Linked DNA regions of Drosophila melanogaster. Changing the gene in region 1 together with any one later gene gives a genetic interaction. Each region holds a gene or a part of one and is shown in the gene's direction. Other genes may lie near its edges.

Region 1 (7,678 bases):
GCAATAAGTTTTACATTCGCTGGCAGTGCAACATAAACAATCTAAATGGAAGTAAATAACATTTTCACTTGACCCCCAAAAGTCTGACCGCAACTTTTGGCAACAAAAGCCCAAAAACGAAGAACAACAAACAAACAAATGGAAGAAAACTTGACTTAACTTTTCCGACGGGGCTTTGCCATGGAATGGGGGTTTCCTCTGTTGGATAAGGGATTACGATCAAAGCGTTCGATTGAGTGTGTCAATAAATTCCTGCCAGTCGACCGAGTGTAGAACATTTGTCCGGCAGCGGCGATAAATAGTTGCCACACGCTTTCGTTGCCCAGGAAAAATCCAAAAGAGACAGATCCCTTTTGGCCGGAAAGTTTCGTGTGAATTTAGTGCGGCTCATTAAGCCGGACAGTGTCAGTCATGTGTGTATGTTTGTCCTGCTGCCCGGCCAGCGGATGCCGGACCAGTGGGCCAATGGATTTCGGTTCAAACTTCATTAAGCTGGCAAAAGGAAATTGCCGGGCCATTGTCATTCTTATTCCCATTCCCATTCCCAGTACCACTCCTGATCCTAGTGCCATTCTCACTGTCACTGCAGTAGACTTCCTTTAATAATGGCCTACCGGGCATTTGTCAACGGGATGCTTTAGGAGCCGGGCTTTAAATGAGCGCGCTCATTAAGAAAATTAATGTTTGGGATTCATTAAAAGTGTCAAAGTGCGCACATTAAAATTATATAAAACGCCGGGGTGGAGTGACGCCTGTCGTAACGAAGCGAACGTCTCGACTCTTGTCGATTTTATTAACAAAACAAAGCATTAAAGACGCATAAAATGTTGACATAGCACCGCGGCTTTCTTCCTGCCTCCTCATAAAACCGTCTCATATTGACAGCTCAAGGACTTACGCACACAACGTTCCCTTGAATGTGTGTATTGTGTGTACTATACGTACACATATCGTGTATCCTGTCGCAGCATCTCATAAAACTAAACCGCAATTCATCAGTAAATTCCTTTCTACTCTCATGTTTTTGGTTTCTTTGGTTTTTTTGGTCAGCCCATCTGCCGGAGAATATGCTACAATTTTATTCGTCTCGTAAAATGCGAAAAAATTGTTTTTATTATAATTATTATGTTAAGCATGGTGACGAAGCAAGTTTATTGCACTCGCCCATAAAAGTGGCAACTTCGATGAAGTGATGATGCTGTCAAACCTTAGTTGCTCTTCGGTTTTCCCCCAATCGAAAACTTGCTGCTGCTGCTTATCTGGGTGCCATTTATAATGGCAAATTATTTGAGATTTTCGCTTAACTTTTTGCCATTTGAAACAATGACACACGCATTGCAGAAAGTCAACAACCTTCGCCTGGTGCAGTTGCGTTGCGTCCTTGCAATATCCCGCTGTCATTTTGCACTGTTAAAAATGCGAAATTAATTCCTTTAAATGGTTTAATGGACTATAAGATATAAGCTCAGATTTTGTTGCTTTCTGAATAGATTGTATGTATATCCAAAGCTTTTAGCTTTAGTAAAAGCAATTGGTATTTCAAGAATGGCATAGTTTTTCGCTGTGTGTATTGATACAACTCGAAGAGGGGCCGCATGTCACGCACTGGAAAATGCTTAACGCTCCCCAGTACCCACGCATAAACTCGTTCCGGGAAAGGGGGTCCACACAATGAGAGTTTTACGTGCTGGCTGGCTCCGAAGGACGTAGCGTGTACGGTTAAAGTTTCTGGCTCATTAGTATGATGCTTAAAAATATTAAATGTGTGCAACTCGAGGGCATCGCAAAAGCAGCAAGATAGTTAGTTGAGCGCACATTAAGATAGTTCCGGTCATAGAAATAAATTGCAATCCCTTCGGTTCTAATGCCCACAAGAAGTGTGGCTTCAATCAGGGCCCACGCGTCGTATGCGCAATGGCCAAGCAATTGCAACAATCAATGTTATATTGTTGAACAAATACGGTAGGCAAGACTCGATGCCACGAAGCCGCAAGCCACAAAAGGCAGGAAAAAGCATGAAACCCAGGGAAAACCCGAGCTGGCAAATAAATGAAGGCCGTAATTATTGCCAAGGAAAATACAGACGCCGGAACGGGGCCAAAATGTCACGTACTGGCAATAAACCGCTGCTAATTTACGATGCTGCCCGGACTGCTGCTGCTCCTGATCCTGGCCAAAGTCCGAGTCCTGTTCCTACTGCTGCTCGGCAGCCAACAAAAGGCGATACAGCGGAAGTCAAAAGGCAAACGCCTAAGCAGTTTGGCCAACTCGAGAGCTCCGGAATGTTGCGCATTACGGCCGCTGCATAGAAATGGCCATCAAATTGACGTCGGCAAAGAAGGGCGAACCTATCGAAACTGCCAATAACCAGGACAAAGGCCTAATGCGCATTAGCCGCCCTGGAACGTGCATTAGATATATTAAAATCGGCCAAGGATCTGTAGTCCTGGGATACTTGCATTGTTCGCCACTGCGTTTTGTTTGCATCCATTAGCGGGAAACGCACTGGGGCAGAAAATCGTGGACAGAGGATTTTCCCATTTTGCTCGGCTCTAATTTCCAAAAAAAAAAATAATAATAATTGCGTTCACTCTACTCGTACTCGTCGAAACTCAACAGGCAGCAAAGAGTGCTGATTTTCGATTTCGAAAAGCGATTTCTCTTAAATGGAGACTTGCCAGAATTTGCGTATAAGAGAGCGTTCTGAGGCGCCTGCGTTGGAAAAGTCTACAGGAAAATCAGCTGGTTTTCGGCGATTCCATCTACTTCAAAACGGCCACATTGAAGCAGTTTGTCAATAGTTACGCTGAAGACGCGACGCGTCTGCCGAAACGTTTAAGGAAAAGCTCCGAGCATAAAATCTGAAAATTATTCAAATAATTCATATTCGAAACACCCAACGCCGAAGACTGAAAGCCGTAATCAAAACACTGAACTCTGAACGCTAAAAAACGGGTATTAAAAGCTGTTTAAATGTTAAGTGAAGTCCTTATAAACGCGAGTTATTACTAACCTTTTTATTCCGCCTAATTGAATAACCAGACCCGCATAATTAGCGGGGCGAACAAGAACAAAATAAAACCGAGACTGAGTACTAAATGTAAAAAAAAAAGATAAATACAAATCAACCATAGGCGCGCACACAAGCAACGCCAAACGGAAGCTGTATCCCTGTGTGCGTGAGCTTGTGTGTGTGAGGTCCTCAGAAGCTGGGGAACATCATAATCATCTTTATCAGCTGGAGCAGCTTCATATCCTTGGTGGTCGCCAGTGCTGTCGTCATCGTTGTCACATCCCGGCATAAATATTTATGTTGACGAATCTACCTGCGGCAGAGCGTCGCTAATGAAGCGGGCGAAATGAAAATGAAAGGACATAATTATGCTTATGTGTGAGTATAATGAATACGAATTTCATTCCACAAGGCCAGCAGCAGGGAACCACCTGCATACATACATACATACCAACAATGGCTACGAGTGCACTTTGTTCAACGAAAATCGCTGGGGGAATTTTGTGCATTTTCGTTTGTTTGTGCTTTCCGTTACGGTTGAATGTCTAGGACTTCTCCTTTTATTTATTTCCAGCTTCTGTCCAGGTTGGTTTCCCTTCAGAATTGCACTATTCTTTTGGCTTTGGGCTGAGGGGATGTGGCGCTGGTTTATTGGTTCCGAACTTAATCAAGTTCACAGAAATGCAGCACTGGCTGCGGGTTGGAAGTGCAATTAGGCAACTGCATTAGAGAAAACTTTCCGCCGGCAAGTTGGTAACTTGAGTGCAAATTGCTGTCGTCCAATCATCTTCATAAAGTTGGCAGCCATGAACTCGGTGTCTTTGTTTGGTAGCCAATCTATTGTTTCCACTCAGTCGCTAACTGAGTTATGACCCCATTCGGTTTGTTCATATCCACACAGACATATGTGCGGACTTCCATCACACCCAACCCTCTGCTAATTGGTATATTGTACGAGTCATTCTTGTGATCATGACCAAAAGGCTGCTAAAAGATTACGCTGACACAAGTGGAAAAAGAAAGAGCACTGCCAGCAGCAGACATTCAGCAGAACTTTTTGTATATTTATTAGAGTATGAATTAATTCAAGAGTGTATGTGTGTGTGTCTGTGTGTGTGTGTTGGTTGTGGGGAAAGAGTTAAGCCTTCGAGGCATATTCTGAATCAGATTCGTAGAATGGAAAGGGGGCGGGCGGAGGAAAAGCCACCGCAGCCCGACGCGATTTTCCTTTTTCTCCTTGATTTTTTTTTCGACTATCCCCTAGAGGGAATTTTGTTGCAAACGTTAGCACATCTTTTTTTTCACTCCACCCACTATGTATGGCGAATGTAATTCATGTACACGACCTTGTTACATAACAAAAACAAAAAAAAATAAAAAAAAAATAGAAAAATGAATGGGTCTGCGAGACTCGCTTTCATAATTAAAATGCAGAAAGATGTGGCCCAGGGTGGCGACCTCAAGATACCCCGCCAAATACCCAGAGGAAACAATTTATGTTGCGGATTGATTGGTTTTTCATAAACAATGCTTATATATATATAAATATATATATATATAGGGTTTACTGAACTAGATGTGTTAAATCAAGTTCAGCATACTTTAAGGCTGCACAATATATAAATATATATTGTAGATTCTTTTTTTTTTATTATCAAAGCATTTGGATGTGAGCCTTGAACTCCAAACCGCAGCAACATTTATAGTGCTTTTATTATTAGCAGCTTAAGCTGGCGTGCCAAGAAATCCTCTGAAAAGGATGACGATTACCTTGACTATGAAAATATTTCTCACACATGAGCTGCTCGAGCGCATCGCACGGCCCTCGTTCCGTTTCCGGTGCCTCCCATTAGCGTTTTAGTCTACGAGAAAAGGCAAAACCGAAAGGCAGCCACTATTCAGCGAGGGTTGTGCGAAGCGTTCTCGCGAATTCGACTGCAAACGGAGATGGAGACTTCCGACCGACTGCAATCTATCAAACTGCCTTCGCAGCTGTTCAGGTGTTGGTTGACCCGAGTGTTCGCCTCAGACTGGTTAACTGCCTTCACCTGGGGACACACCTTGACACAGACAAAGGTCAGGGCAGATGTGTTGGGCGCCACAAAGGCCAAGTGGCATCCAAACACCCCAGCTACGACTATCCGTAAGTGAATTAAGCAGGAATGCAGATGCCTTCGTGTTACGCTAGTTTATTGTGTTTCTTTTGGAACCCGTTTTAGTTATGCATATCAGTTCCGCTCCAAATTCCTTGGTTGGTTTTGGCCAGGATTACCGTCGTATCTGTCGTATCTATAGGGCTGCCTTAGTTCTCTCGAAAATCCGGGCAGTGGAAGTAGCAGTAGCAGCGAAATCAACAGCAGCAACTGCATCGCAAATCCAAGTGTAAGCGTCAACATTTTGAATAGAACTGAGCAAAACAAGCTGATAGCACAAACAGCGTCAGCAAAAGGGAAATATTAATAGCACACCGCGAAAAACACTATCGATCAGTAATAAGTGGATATCCAAAATAATTATGCAAACTTGAGTGCTGAGATTGAAATATATTTTTGGGAGATAACAATATTTAGGTTATAGATTAAAGCCAGACAAAAATCAATACAAGTTAGATGATAAAATGTCAAATTCGGTCTGGCATTTTATGTGCCATAAAATTTCAGAATGATTTAATATTTTTATACATTTAAAAATTTTAAAATATTGAAACTAACTTAACAATTAATTTTATTATAAAATACTACGTACTACTTGTTTAAATTCAATTTGATAAGCAATCATTCAAGCACGATTTTAAAAGTGTGGCGGATTTTCCCAGCTCCAATCGAGATAAGGATCCTAGGGTCAAGGGGCCGGCTTACAGTGGGTTGGCAGCTTGTAAAAACCCTGTGAAAGAGTTCGCCCGATTGAAATGATTAATTAATTGCTGGAATCGAGGTAAACTGAGCGCGTCCAGACGAGCATCATTTATCACGGTGTGGTCTTAATACGAACGCCAGACCGGCTTCACTTGGGCAAATGGGAAATATAGAGGGGAATTGTGTTATTTTAGGGCGGGCACACATTATGATTTCGTCTACAGCTTTTATTTCTTGTTTTCCATAGACTTTTCCACCATTGTTTGCCATTCATCTCTGACTCTCCATTGACTCTCGCACCGCCCTATGTTTTGCAGTTTACGTGTTAAGTGCTTGGCAAGCACGATTAAGGCGCTTTATCACCCGCAACAACGGCAGCAACACGAACGACAAGCACGCCAGCAACAGCAGCAGCAGCAGCAGAAGCAGCAGCAACAGCAGCAACACCAGCAACAGCAACAGCTGCGACGGCAGCAACATCAAAAGCAGCAGCAGCAGCAGAATCAGCAGCAAGCCATCCGGCTGTAGTCACATACATTGACACGCCCCCAACCCAGATTCATATATAGTCGTACATACATACAGAAATATATAGCCGGATATACATATACATATATACAAGCGAGATGCTGAAAACTGTGACAACAGCAATGGCTGCCGGCGATGACGATGTCCCAGCGAGCATTTTGGAAATAGAACTGCCAGCCATTTTGCTCAACGAGAGCCTCTTCATCGAGCTGAATGGCAATCTCACCCAGCTGGTGGACACGACTAGCAATCTCAGCCAAATCGTCTGGAATCGCAGCATAAACGGCAATGGAAACAGCAACACTTTCGACCTGGTCGATGACGAACAAGAGCGGGCGGCGGTCGAGTTTTGGCTACTAGTCAAAATGATCGCCATGGCCGTGGTGCTGGGACTCATGATACTCGTCACCATCATAGGCAAGTACTTAATCAAAACCAAATCCAAATTTAAATTACCAAAGCGAAAATGCCGTGAGGGGTGGGGGGTGGGGTTTTTGGACATTAAATTATCCTCGAATTTATGCCGTGGGGATATGGCTGCGAAAAGTTTCCATATCGCCGACAAAAACTGAACTGTAAATGAAGTAAAATTTATGATGCAGAAGATTTTTATTGCGCCCTCTTGGAAGATTTTTATTGATTTTTGGGCTTACAGAGATGATTTGCAGCCGCTCGCTCTAAGAAATGGGCCTTTGAAATACCTCGAAAGATGGGTGTCGGGTGCTCAGGGGTGGTTGATTGTTTTGGTTGGCTAGATGATGTACGAGGAGTTCTTTGAGTTAAGCGCGCCGCAAAGATGCCTGCGAAATAGGGAAGGAAAAACGAGGAAAAGTTTCCAAAAAGTGTTTGCCGCGGCACGTGAAAAGCTATTAAAATGGCGCCAAGGCGTCTAATGCAAATTACGACAAGCACACACACTCACACACACTTTTTGGCACACGTTGTGATGGAGGTGTTAGGAGGTGATGTTTTTAACGGCTAGAAATTTAAAGGGTACTAAAAACATATCAAAATGATACAAGAAGTAAAATAAAAAGCACTTAGCGTACATATTAAAACTGTTGGCTATCTGTCGTAGTCGACCGTAGTCCGACCCGTAGTCGGTCAGTAGTCGGTGCTGTACTCAGTCCCGTAGTCGGTCCCGTACCTGGTCCCGTACTCCGTCCCATACTCGAACGGGGTACTGGCGTCACTGTGGCTACGCTGGCAAAGAAGGGGATGGATGAGATGAGGTGGTAGTGCGGCAATTACAATTTGCCAAGTTGCACGCGCTTAATCAAAG
Region 2 (8,664 bases), on another chromosome or scaffold:
ATCTTCAACAACAGCGATGACATTCATTTATCTGTATTTTTCCTTATGAAAGAAGTGATAAATACATTCCCTTATTATAAATTTCATGTTTAATTAAGTTAATATACCTCATATTGGTAAAGGAATATGATATAATGACCAAATAGTAGAACATTGTTGTAGATAGCATTCAACAAACTGCAAATGGGTATAAAATATAATATCTATTAAAAAAAAGGAGAATGCTTTAATACAATAACCAAATATGACTGCATTTTTTCACCATTTCCGCTGACCCATCTTGGTTAAGGAATCTTCATCTGCCAACACTGCTCACTAACAAGCTGCAATCTACAGCCTGGCAATCATGTAATGTAGCGAAGCATCAACACAAACACAGAGACGGTGTGGGCGGTATGTGCTGCTGCTGATTGCACAAAGGATGCCCCTCAAGTCCTTGGTGACGTGTTGAGCGAAAGAATGAAACTAGCAGCCTGTGCCCGGCAGTTCAACGGAAGATCCAGTGCACCTGAACTGGGAACTTGCTGGCTGAAAGATAAATTATGGCATGGGATAACCCGACAATGGCTGAACATTTTGCTTTCCGAGAAGGAAACCTTGGGAAAGCAGCTGCACTAAATAAAGGAAATCCCTTTGAGGGCATGGTCCCACCAGACACAGGAGTATTAGGGAGTTTTCCATCACAATTTACAAATGCAATTCGCAGGATACAGGATCTTTTCCAAGCACAATGGAAACTATGGTAAAGCAGCGGCGATTGAAAAAGTAAAAGCCCTTTCAACGAGTGGTCCCATCTGGTTTATGAGAAATCATATTTAATTTTCTACATGACATTTTATCAGCCAATGTTCAGTAATTTTTCACAGAACAAACTATGAAAGGCTGTCCGTAATCATAAAAAATTCAATTTCGAGGAAATGGTGAGAACTTTGTAAAAATTGGTACCACCTGGCGTATGGGTAAGTGGGTATTCCTTTGCAAGGGACAAGTTCTATTGGAAAAGTTCGACCTGAACGTAAATTAAATGCCAACTATACGAAAATGTCCATGTCAATGAAGTGAAAATTGTGAATAGAAACCCACCTGGCGTATGAGCAATATGAGTTCTTTGAGTATAAGTAATTGTATTTGCTATTCTCAATCTTTAAATTTCCGAAATTTCAATCCCAACCGAGGAACGTAAATTAGTTTCATAAAAGCTAACAAGGCAAGAAAAATTCTTTTGTCCAAAACCTTTCGACTTCACTTCATTGTTCATTTGACCCTGTTTCACTCTGCCTCTGCCACTGTTCCTTTCCCCCGCCCCCTTATAATCCTGGTTTTGGCCATAGTCCAGCCACAGAAGGCTCATCATCGTCGTCGTCATCATTTGAATTCCTCGCCCGATTGTTGCAAGCAGCGCCTGTCGTTGTTGTTGTTGCCAGGACACGTGCATCGGCGAGCTTTGCAGTTGACATTCCGTTACGCACGTTGCCTCCATTTGGTCCTTGTTCTTGTTTTTACTGCTGCTGCTGCTGCTGCTGCTGCTGTCGGTGTCGTTGTCGTTGTCTAGGCAACATGCAATGTGCAATGCTAAAGTTTTTGTGATGCAAGTGCGTAGTTTACTCACAATAAGGCTCGTTGGGACTGTCCAGCGATGTTGGGTATTCGACGTGCGGGGATTTTTTTTTATGGGGGAAAAGCTCACTCAAAGTTGGCAAAGGAGCTGTGGCCCATGCTCGGGTTAACTAACTATGCCAATGCAGGACCATAACCAAAAAGTGCGTCACTACCGAATATTAGCTACTCTATTATATGTTCAAGTGTATTTGGTTTTTCGAAATATTGATAGGAGAATACTGGTATCTAGAATTGCTCATCTTCCATCTTCATCTTTTTCTTACCAAAATAGCTATTTCCAGTATAATTTGTAGAAGAACTAACCAGGAATGGGCTAACCTACTTTTGTAGTTAGGGCGATACTTACTTGCTTTACAAATGAATGTCTGCACAGCACAAATCAAATAATCAATAAATCTTATAACTATTTAAACTTAAATGTATTTACTCATAATAAACAACCAAGTAAATATACCCAAATAGGTAATTATTACTTCAAAGTGATAAGTATAAGCATGCAAACAGCCCATCTCGATCCCACTGCAGAGTTGAGTGCTTGCAAAAGCTCGTCACGTCATAAGCGGCAACAGTTGGGTTCAGTTTCTGGTTCTGTGTGCTCAGAACGCAGTGCCCCACTGTGAGAGCGAAGGGAAGAAGGGGTGGGACAGTCAGCTGGGGGTCGATTCGGGGTGGGGGCTCGGCTCGTTCTCGGCGCAGAGCTAGAAGTGCAGGCAACCGTGGGCAGAGTGCCACACTTATGCTCACACAAGCACCCAAGCACACAGTCGCCCCTTCGCACACACACACACACACACATACAGATCGACAGCTTTGTATTGACGCACTTGAACGGGCTGTTTCTAGTTACCGATTCACAGTACACGCTTCTACACTGGGAGAAAATATGCATGTCCGCAAAATCCTTATCAACTCTCGAATCTTTTCTCGCAGCCATTATAACGAGTTTTAATACTAAATATGCATAGAAATTCAAAATATAAACAATAACAAAAACAAAAACGATATTTGGATGTTATAGAACACTCTTAGTTTTAGCCTGCGTTTGGTTTTGCCCAACTTAAACTTTGGTTATAATATATATAATATATGGAAGTAAGTACTTTTTTTCAGTGTGCGGTTCCCACAGGTCTCTTTCTCGCCATCTCTGTTGCACTCACCGTACTTATGCGATTCATTTTAGCTTATAACGCCGAACACGGGGAACGTTGAGCTGCAGTTGTAGAAACGTTCTCAGCACTCAAATTTCGCATTCACATTCTCATTCGTCAATTAGTTGCCGGCGCGAGCGAATCGTGAGTGCGGAAAAAAGAAAATCTTTTCATCAGCTGGAAAACTGTTCTTCCCGATCAAAACTGGGATTCGGGAGATTTTTGAAGCCCAAAAGCAGGGAACTCCTCACTGATGGCCACGCGAGGGGCGAATGTGATTTGGTTTCGCCATGGATTGCGCCTCCATGATAATCCCGCTCTATTGGCCGCCCTCGCCGATAAGGATCAGGGTATAGCCCTAATTCCCGTTTTCATATTCGATGGAGAGAGTGCAGGTAAGAACTGAGTTTTCGAAAATTTTATTTCGTTGCGCACACATACATGTAGGTATCCAAATTAAATTGATTACAGGTAACCTTGAACTTACCTTGCACTTTCCTAAGTTATTACTTCAAAACTTTTATATGAGATATGGATATCTCATGGAGATATATTTAAAATATTAAGATAATCTTAAAATAATTAATAGATAGCAAAACATCAAAGATAAAATATTATATCTATATATATTTGCTCATACAAAATCATCAGAAGTTTGTGTAAAAATAGATTTTTGGAAAGAGTTTGAAAATTCAACAAAATTAAAATAAAAAACCGTTGGCAACAGAGGGTTAAAATAAATACTTTTAGTTTGATTGCTATTACACGCTCATTCTCCGTATGAGCTAATATCATTTTTTGCGACTTGCATCGGTTATCACATACCACCTCTTTCCGCGACCGCTGCGAATTCAGCGTTTTCGCTGCTTGTGAAAATGGAAAGAGGGCGAGAGCTGCAGGGGCGGAAAATGGAGGGAAAACCTAATGCACTTTTGCATGGTAGAGCAAAACAAACGATGCGCCCTAATGCCATTTGTGGCTGGCGGTTTTGAGAATTTTCCGTCGAATCGCTGGGAGAGAGATATAGAAAGACAATGCAAAATGGGTAGAGACATTGAGTGCAAACCAGAATAGCAGTATAATGCTTGTGTTTAAACAGCTCGCTCACGGAAAAAGTCGGCGAGAAACGGGGATACCTATAGAACCCATCACTTGACCGATAAGCGTCGTTTTGTGGGTAAAAGCGTGAAAACAAATATTACAATGGAAAATGGGCTAAACTGAACCATTTGTTTGCACAAAAGCTGAAAATTTATCTAAAAGGTGGCACTTAAACACACAAACTTGTTTTGAATTCCTAGTTTTGCGAAAATTGTGCACGAAAAAACTTTGAAAATGCATAATTTTTTTTAAATTTATAAATCTTATAAAACCGTTAAATGCTCTTCCTTAACAGGTACCAAGAATGTGGGTTACAATCGGATGCGTTTCCTCCTGGACTCGTTGCAGGACATCGATGATCAGCTACAGGCGGCAACTGATGGACGTGGACGCCTCCTGGTCTTCGAGGGCGAACCGGCTTATATCTTCCGCCGGCTACATGAGCAAGTGCGTCTGCACAGGATTTGCATAGAGCAGGACTGCGAGCCAATTTGGAATGAGCGCGATGAAAGCATCCGTTCTCTATGTCGGGAGCTGAATATCGACTTTGTCGAGAAGGTATCACACACGCTTTGGGATCCGCAATTGGTGATTGAGACCAATGGTGGCATTCCACCGCTGACCTACCAAATGTTCCTGGTGAGTTTAAAGCTCAGTTCTCTAGTTATAATATTCTTTTGAGAATATATCTTTAAAATAAATGTAAAAATATAACTATCTGAAAATTATATAGTCACTGAAAGATACTAATTATTTACATCAAATTATATTTTCGTTTATTTTATTATGTTTTAGCACACGGTGCAAATTATTGGGCTTCCACCGCGTCCCACCGCCGATGCTCGACTAGAAGACGCCACCTTTGTCGAGCTGGACCCCGAGTTCTGCCGAAGTCTTAAGTTGTTCGAGCAGCTGCCCACGCCGGAGCACTTCAATGTGTATGGAGACAACATGGGCTTCCTGGCCAAGATTAACTGGCGCGGCGGAGAAACACAGGCCTTACTTCTGTTGGATGAGCGTCTTAAAGTGGAGCAGCATGCGTTTGAGCGTGGATTTTATCTGCCCAACCAGGCACTGCCCAATATCCACGACTCGCCAAAATCGATGAGCGCCCATCTGCGCTTTGGTTGCCTTTCGGTACGTCGCTTCTACTGGAGCGTCCACGATCTCTTCAAGAATGTCCAGTTGCGCGCCTGTGTGCGGGGCGTTCAGATGACTGGCGGCGCGCACATCACGGGACAGTTGATCTGGCGAGAGTACTTCTACACCATGTCGGTGAACAATCCAAACTACGATCGCATGGAGGGCAATGACATCTGCCTGAGCATCCCGTGGGCTAAGCCGAACGAAAATCTCCTGCAGAGCTGGCGTTTAGGCCAAACGGGATTCCCGCTCATCGACGGCGCCATGCGACAACTCCTGGCCGAGGGATGGCTCCACCATACGCTGCGCAACACCGTGGCCACCTTTCTCACGCGCGGCGGTTTGTGGCAGAGCTGGGAGCATGGACTGCAGCACTTTCTGAAGTATCTGCTGGATGCGGATTGGTCGGTCTGCGCTGGCAACTGGATGTGGGTATCCAGCTCGGCGTTTGAAAGGCTGCTGGACTCCTCCCTGGTCACCTGCCCGGTGGCATTGGCCAAGCGACTTGATCCGGATGGCACCTACATCAAGCAGTACGTCCCGGAGTTGATGAATGTGCCCAAGGAATTTGTGTAAGTTTATATAATGAAAATTCCATATAACAATTTAAGTACTTAGATATAATAAAAATACTGATGGTATACTTGTCGTATACGCAATATATGATGACTCCTTTGTCGTCTTTACTTATGATTCGTTAAAGTGTTCAACAATCTCAAGCAACCATTTGAACTATATATATTTTTAATTCGTTTATTCGTGCTTTTGTTATATTTTTTAAATTATAAATCCCATTTTATATTTTCAGTCACGAGCCCTGGCGAATGTCTGCCGAGCAGCAGGAGCAGTACGAGTGCCTGATCGGAGTCCATTATCCGGAGCGGATCATTGATTTGTCCATGGCCGTAAAGCGAAACATGCTGGCCATGAAGTCTCTCCGAAATTCGCTGATCACCCCGCCGCCGCATTGCCGACCATCCAACGAGGAGGAAGTGCGTCAGTTCTTCTGGCTGGCCGACGTGGTGGTTTGAAGGAGTACAAGTGGGATGACCAATCCAATTTTAATTCGATTTCACAATAAAGAAACTATTACCAGTGAAATATTATATATAATTAATAATGCTTTATTTTCTTCAATTAAAATAAGTACTACAATACAATTTGTATCCGTTTTATTTGGTTTCGTTTTACTTTTAACAGCTTATAACGTGTTACTCATATATCAATTTTATTCAGCTTATTTTAAAAATCGTTTATGGTGTATATATATATAATTATTATTATCATCTGTATTACGTTGTCAAATTATACGTTAATTAACAGCATTAATTAAATAGTTTTTGCTTTTAATTGGGTCTTTCATACGAGAAAAATTGAACGCGAAGTATTTCAAATATTGAAATTTATTTTATGTCGATCTATTGATCCTGGCTTCGTTTGCCTTTCGTTTAATGAGAGATTCTATCTTTATAATTTGTCTAAATTGTTGTGTATATTTTATTTTAATGCCTAAATTTTGGTGTTCCTTCTAGATGTGTGCCTTTCGAATGAGATATTGGTAGGGGTTGATGGGACCTAAAAGGAGTTATTGTTGAAGTTTGAGTCCCTCGACAGTTTGCTACAAATAAAGTTTGAGAAAATCTAAACTCGACCACGCCGAGCTTTTCGCTCATTCCCCTACCAGCGACTTAATCGCAATAGTCCTTTGTAGGAAGTAAGCATTCGTTTTAGACATTCGACATCCTGCGAATTAGTTGAAGTAAATTCGAGTAAACATTTAGAGCGTTGCTTGGCAAAAAGTTATTTTTCTGGTAAATGTAAATTTCACACACACACACATTGCGTAATATACGATAGCTGAATAAATAATGGAACCAACCAATTCAATCAACAAACGAACAAGGAAGGAACGAGAACTCACAGAAAATAACAATTTGATGCAATTTATACTTTATGGAATATCTCGTAACGCATTATACTTTTATCAATATTATATTTTTTAAGTACTCTCCCCAGCTTCAAGTGTCCTCTCTGTATGTATGTACAAATGTATAGTATTGTGCTGATGCAGATGCATTCGGTGTGCTAAGTGGATGTCTGTGTGTTCGAACCGATTGGCTATAAAAATAAAATGCTGCTTGTCCCCATTTCGTATGCAATACTTGTTAAAAGCCCCCGGATTTCCCAACCAGCCCATCTACAATCCCCACTACCAGTACCATATAGTGCTAGCTGACTGCTTTAAGCCTATGAGGTTCAATTAAATTCACTTGCTGTTTAATTTCTCATTCTACTGGGCACCTGTTCGCTCATTTGTGTGTTTTAAGATCATGAAAATATAGCATCACTAATGATTGATTACGTTAAAAGCTTTCAATATTTTTGGCTTTGATAGAGGTTATAGCTTCAAAATGGACGTTTCATAGATAGATCATTAATTTTACATAGACTTCAAGAGCTATTTCTTTGTTTGAGCAGAACTACGTAGGCAGATAGTAAAAAGTACGAGGCGACTTTCAGGATATGTGGCTATAGCAGAAGAGTGCGGTGTATCTAAGGTGGTTTAATTCAAGGATTCCTCTTGTTTGGGCATTTCAGATATTGGCAGTTATCTAGTGTTGTTTGGTGTCTTTGAAAACTGTTCGAAAATGGAATAACAAATAATCTTGGGCAATTCCCATTACAATATGAAGTTGTTATTCTTCGCAGCCAGATGGACTGTAATGCAATCGTAGATCACAGCTAACTCCACTCGCAAGCGGTTCATAAATCATTCAAGCTAACCCATGAAAGGCAACTGTTTGCCAAGTCAATCCAGGCCAAGACCCCCCAGACTCTCCTCGTATTCGTGGTTATCTTGGGATTGGATTGTTATACATTGACTTTTTGAAATGCAAATCACATGCAGACCACAGATGCATAGCCAATGAATGCAAATAGACAAAGACCTGCATAGGCTCCTATTTACATACATGTTCTCAGAAAATCACATATTCAAACTGCTCCTATCTCCCACCTCTTGCCCTCCCCTGCAGGTCGGATGTTTGCGTTTAACTTTTTACATTAACTGTCATTTGGTTTATTTCACAATTTACAAAATGCAACTTAAACAATGGTCTTAGACGTGGTGCTGGCCATGCGTGGAGGAGAGTGTCGTCAACAGATGTCCTTTGTGTTGTTCGGCATCCTGGTTACATTTTACATACAGTGCAGTGGAAGGAACTTAACTAACTTACTGCGGTTGCAACCGTTTCTCGGGTTCTTTAATTTGTTGTCGTGTGCTACACTAGTACTAAGCTTTGCTGCTGCGGTTGCCGTACACTTGGTGTTCGCTTAGTTTGCCTTTGTTTCAGTTGACGCTGCTGTGGCTTCACATTGCTTTAATTTTGTTTCATTTTGTTTTCATGGTGTTAGTTTATATCGTAAATTTATTTATGCAATTTTATCTCAATTTCATTAATCTGTTTTGCTTTGTTTTGCTTTTCTTTGCCTTTTAGTTTTGTTTTCTTGTTTTGCCTGATTTTTACATACACATATTTTGTTTACAATTTTCTACTAGACTTAATCGGCATCCGCGCGCATACCCCGCACCTCGCCCACCTGCCGCGCCTTGTCCAGCTCCTCCTTCGTCTGGTCCTCGATGGCGCGAATG

Evidence for each region. A genetic interaction does not mean that the proteins touch.
Region 2: of 5-HT1B (region 1) and cry, changing one suppresses a phenotype caused by changing the other (phenotypic suppression), as found in Drosophila melanogaster (one study listed by BioGRID).

The regions. Positions count from the first base shown.
Region 1 is NT_033778.4:19,027,753-19,035,430, reverse strand, and holds the start of 5-HT1B (5-hydroxytryptamine (serotonin) receptor 1B), read left to right. Parts: upstream 1-2,788; 5' UTR 2,789-3,391; intron 3,392-5,180; exon of another isoform or gene 5,181-5,241; coding exon of another isoform or gene 5,242-5,409; exon of another isoform or gene 5,410-5,422; intron 5,423-6,185; 5' UTR 6,186-6,494; coding exon 6,495-6,813; intron 6,814-7,678. Other genes in the region: CG43351 (uncharacterized protein), read right to left, coding at 5,242-5,409. UniProt on the Drosophila melanogaster protein: This is one of the several different receptors for 5-hydroxytryptamine (serotonin), a biogenic hormone that functions as a neurotransmitter, a hormone, and a mitogen. The activity of this receptor is mediated by G proteins which inhibit adenylate cyclase.
Region 2 is NT_033777.3:19,209,320-19,217,983, forward strand, and holds cry (cryptochrome), read left to right. Parts: upstream 1-2,834; 5' UTR 2,835-3,021; coding exon 3,022-3,163; intron 3,164-3,239; exon of another isoform or gene 3,240-3,408; intron 3,409-4,164; coding exon 4,165-4,508; intron 4,509-4,664; coding exon 4,665-5,584; intron 5,585-5,820; coding exon 5,821-6,043; 3' UTR 6,044-6,123; downstream 6,124-8,664. Other genes in the region: vib (vibrator), read right to left, coding at 8,574-8,664. UniProt on the Drosophila melanogaster protein: Blue light-dependent regulator that is the input of the circadian feedback loop. Has no photolyase activity for cyclobutane pyrimidine dimers or 6-4 photoproducts.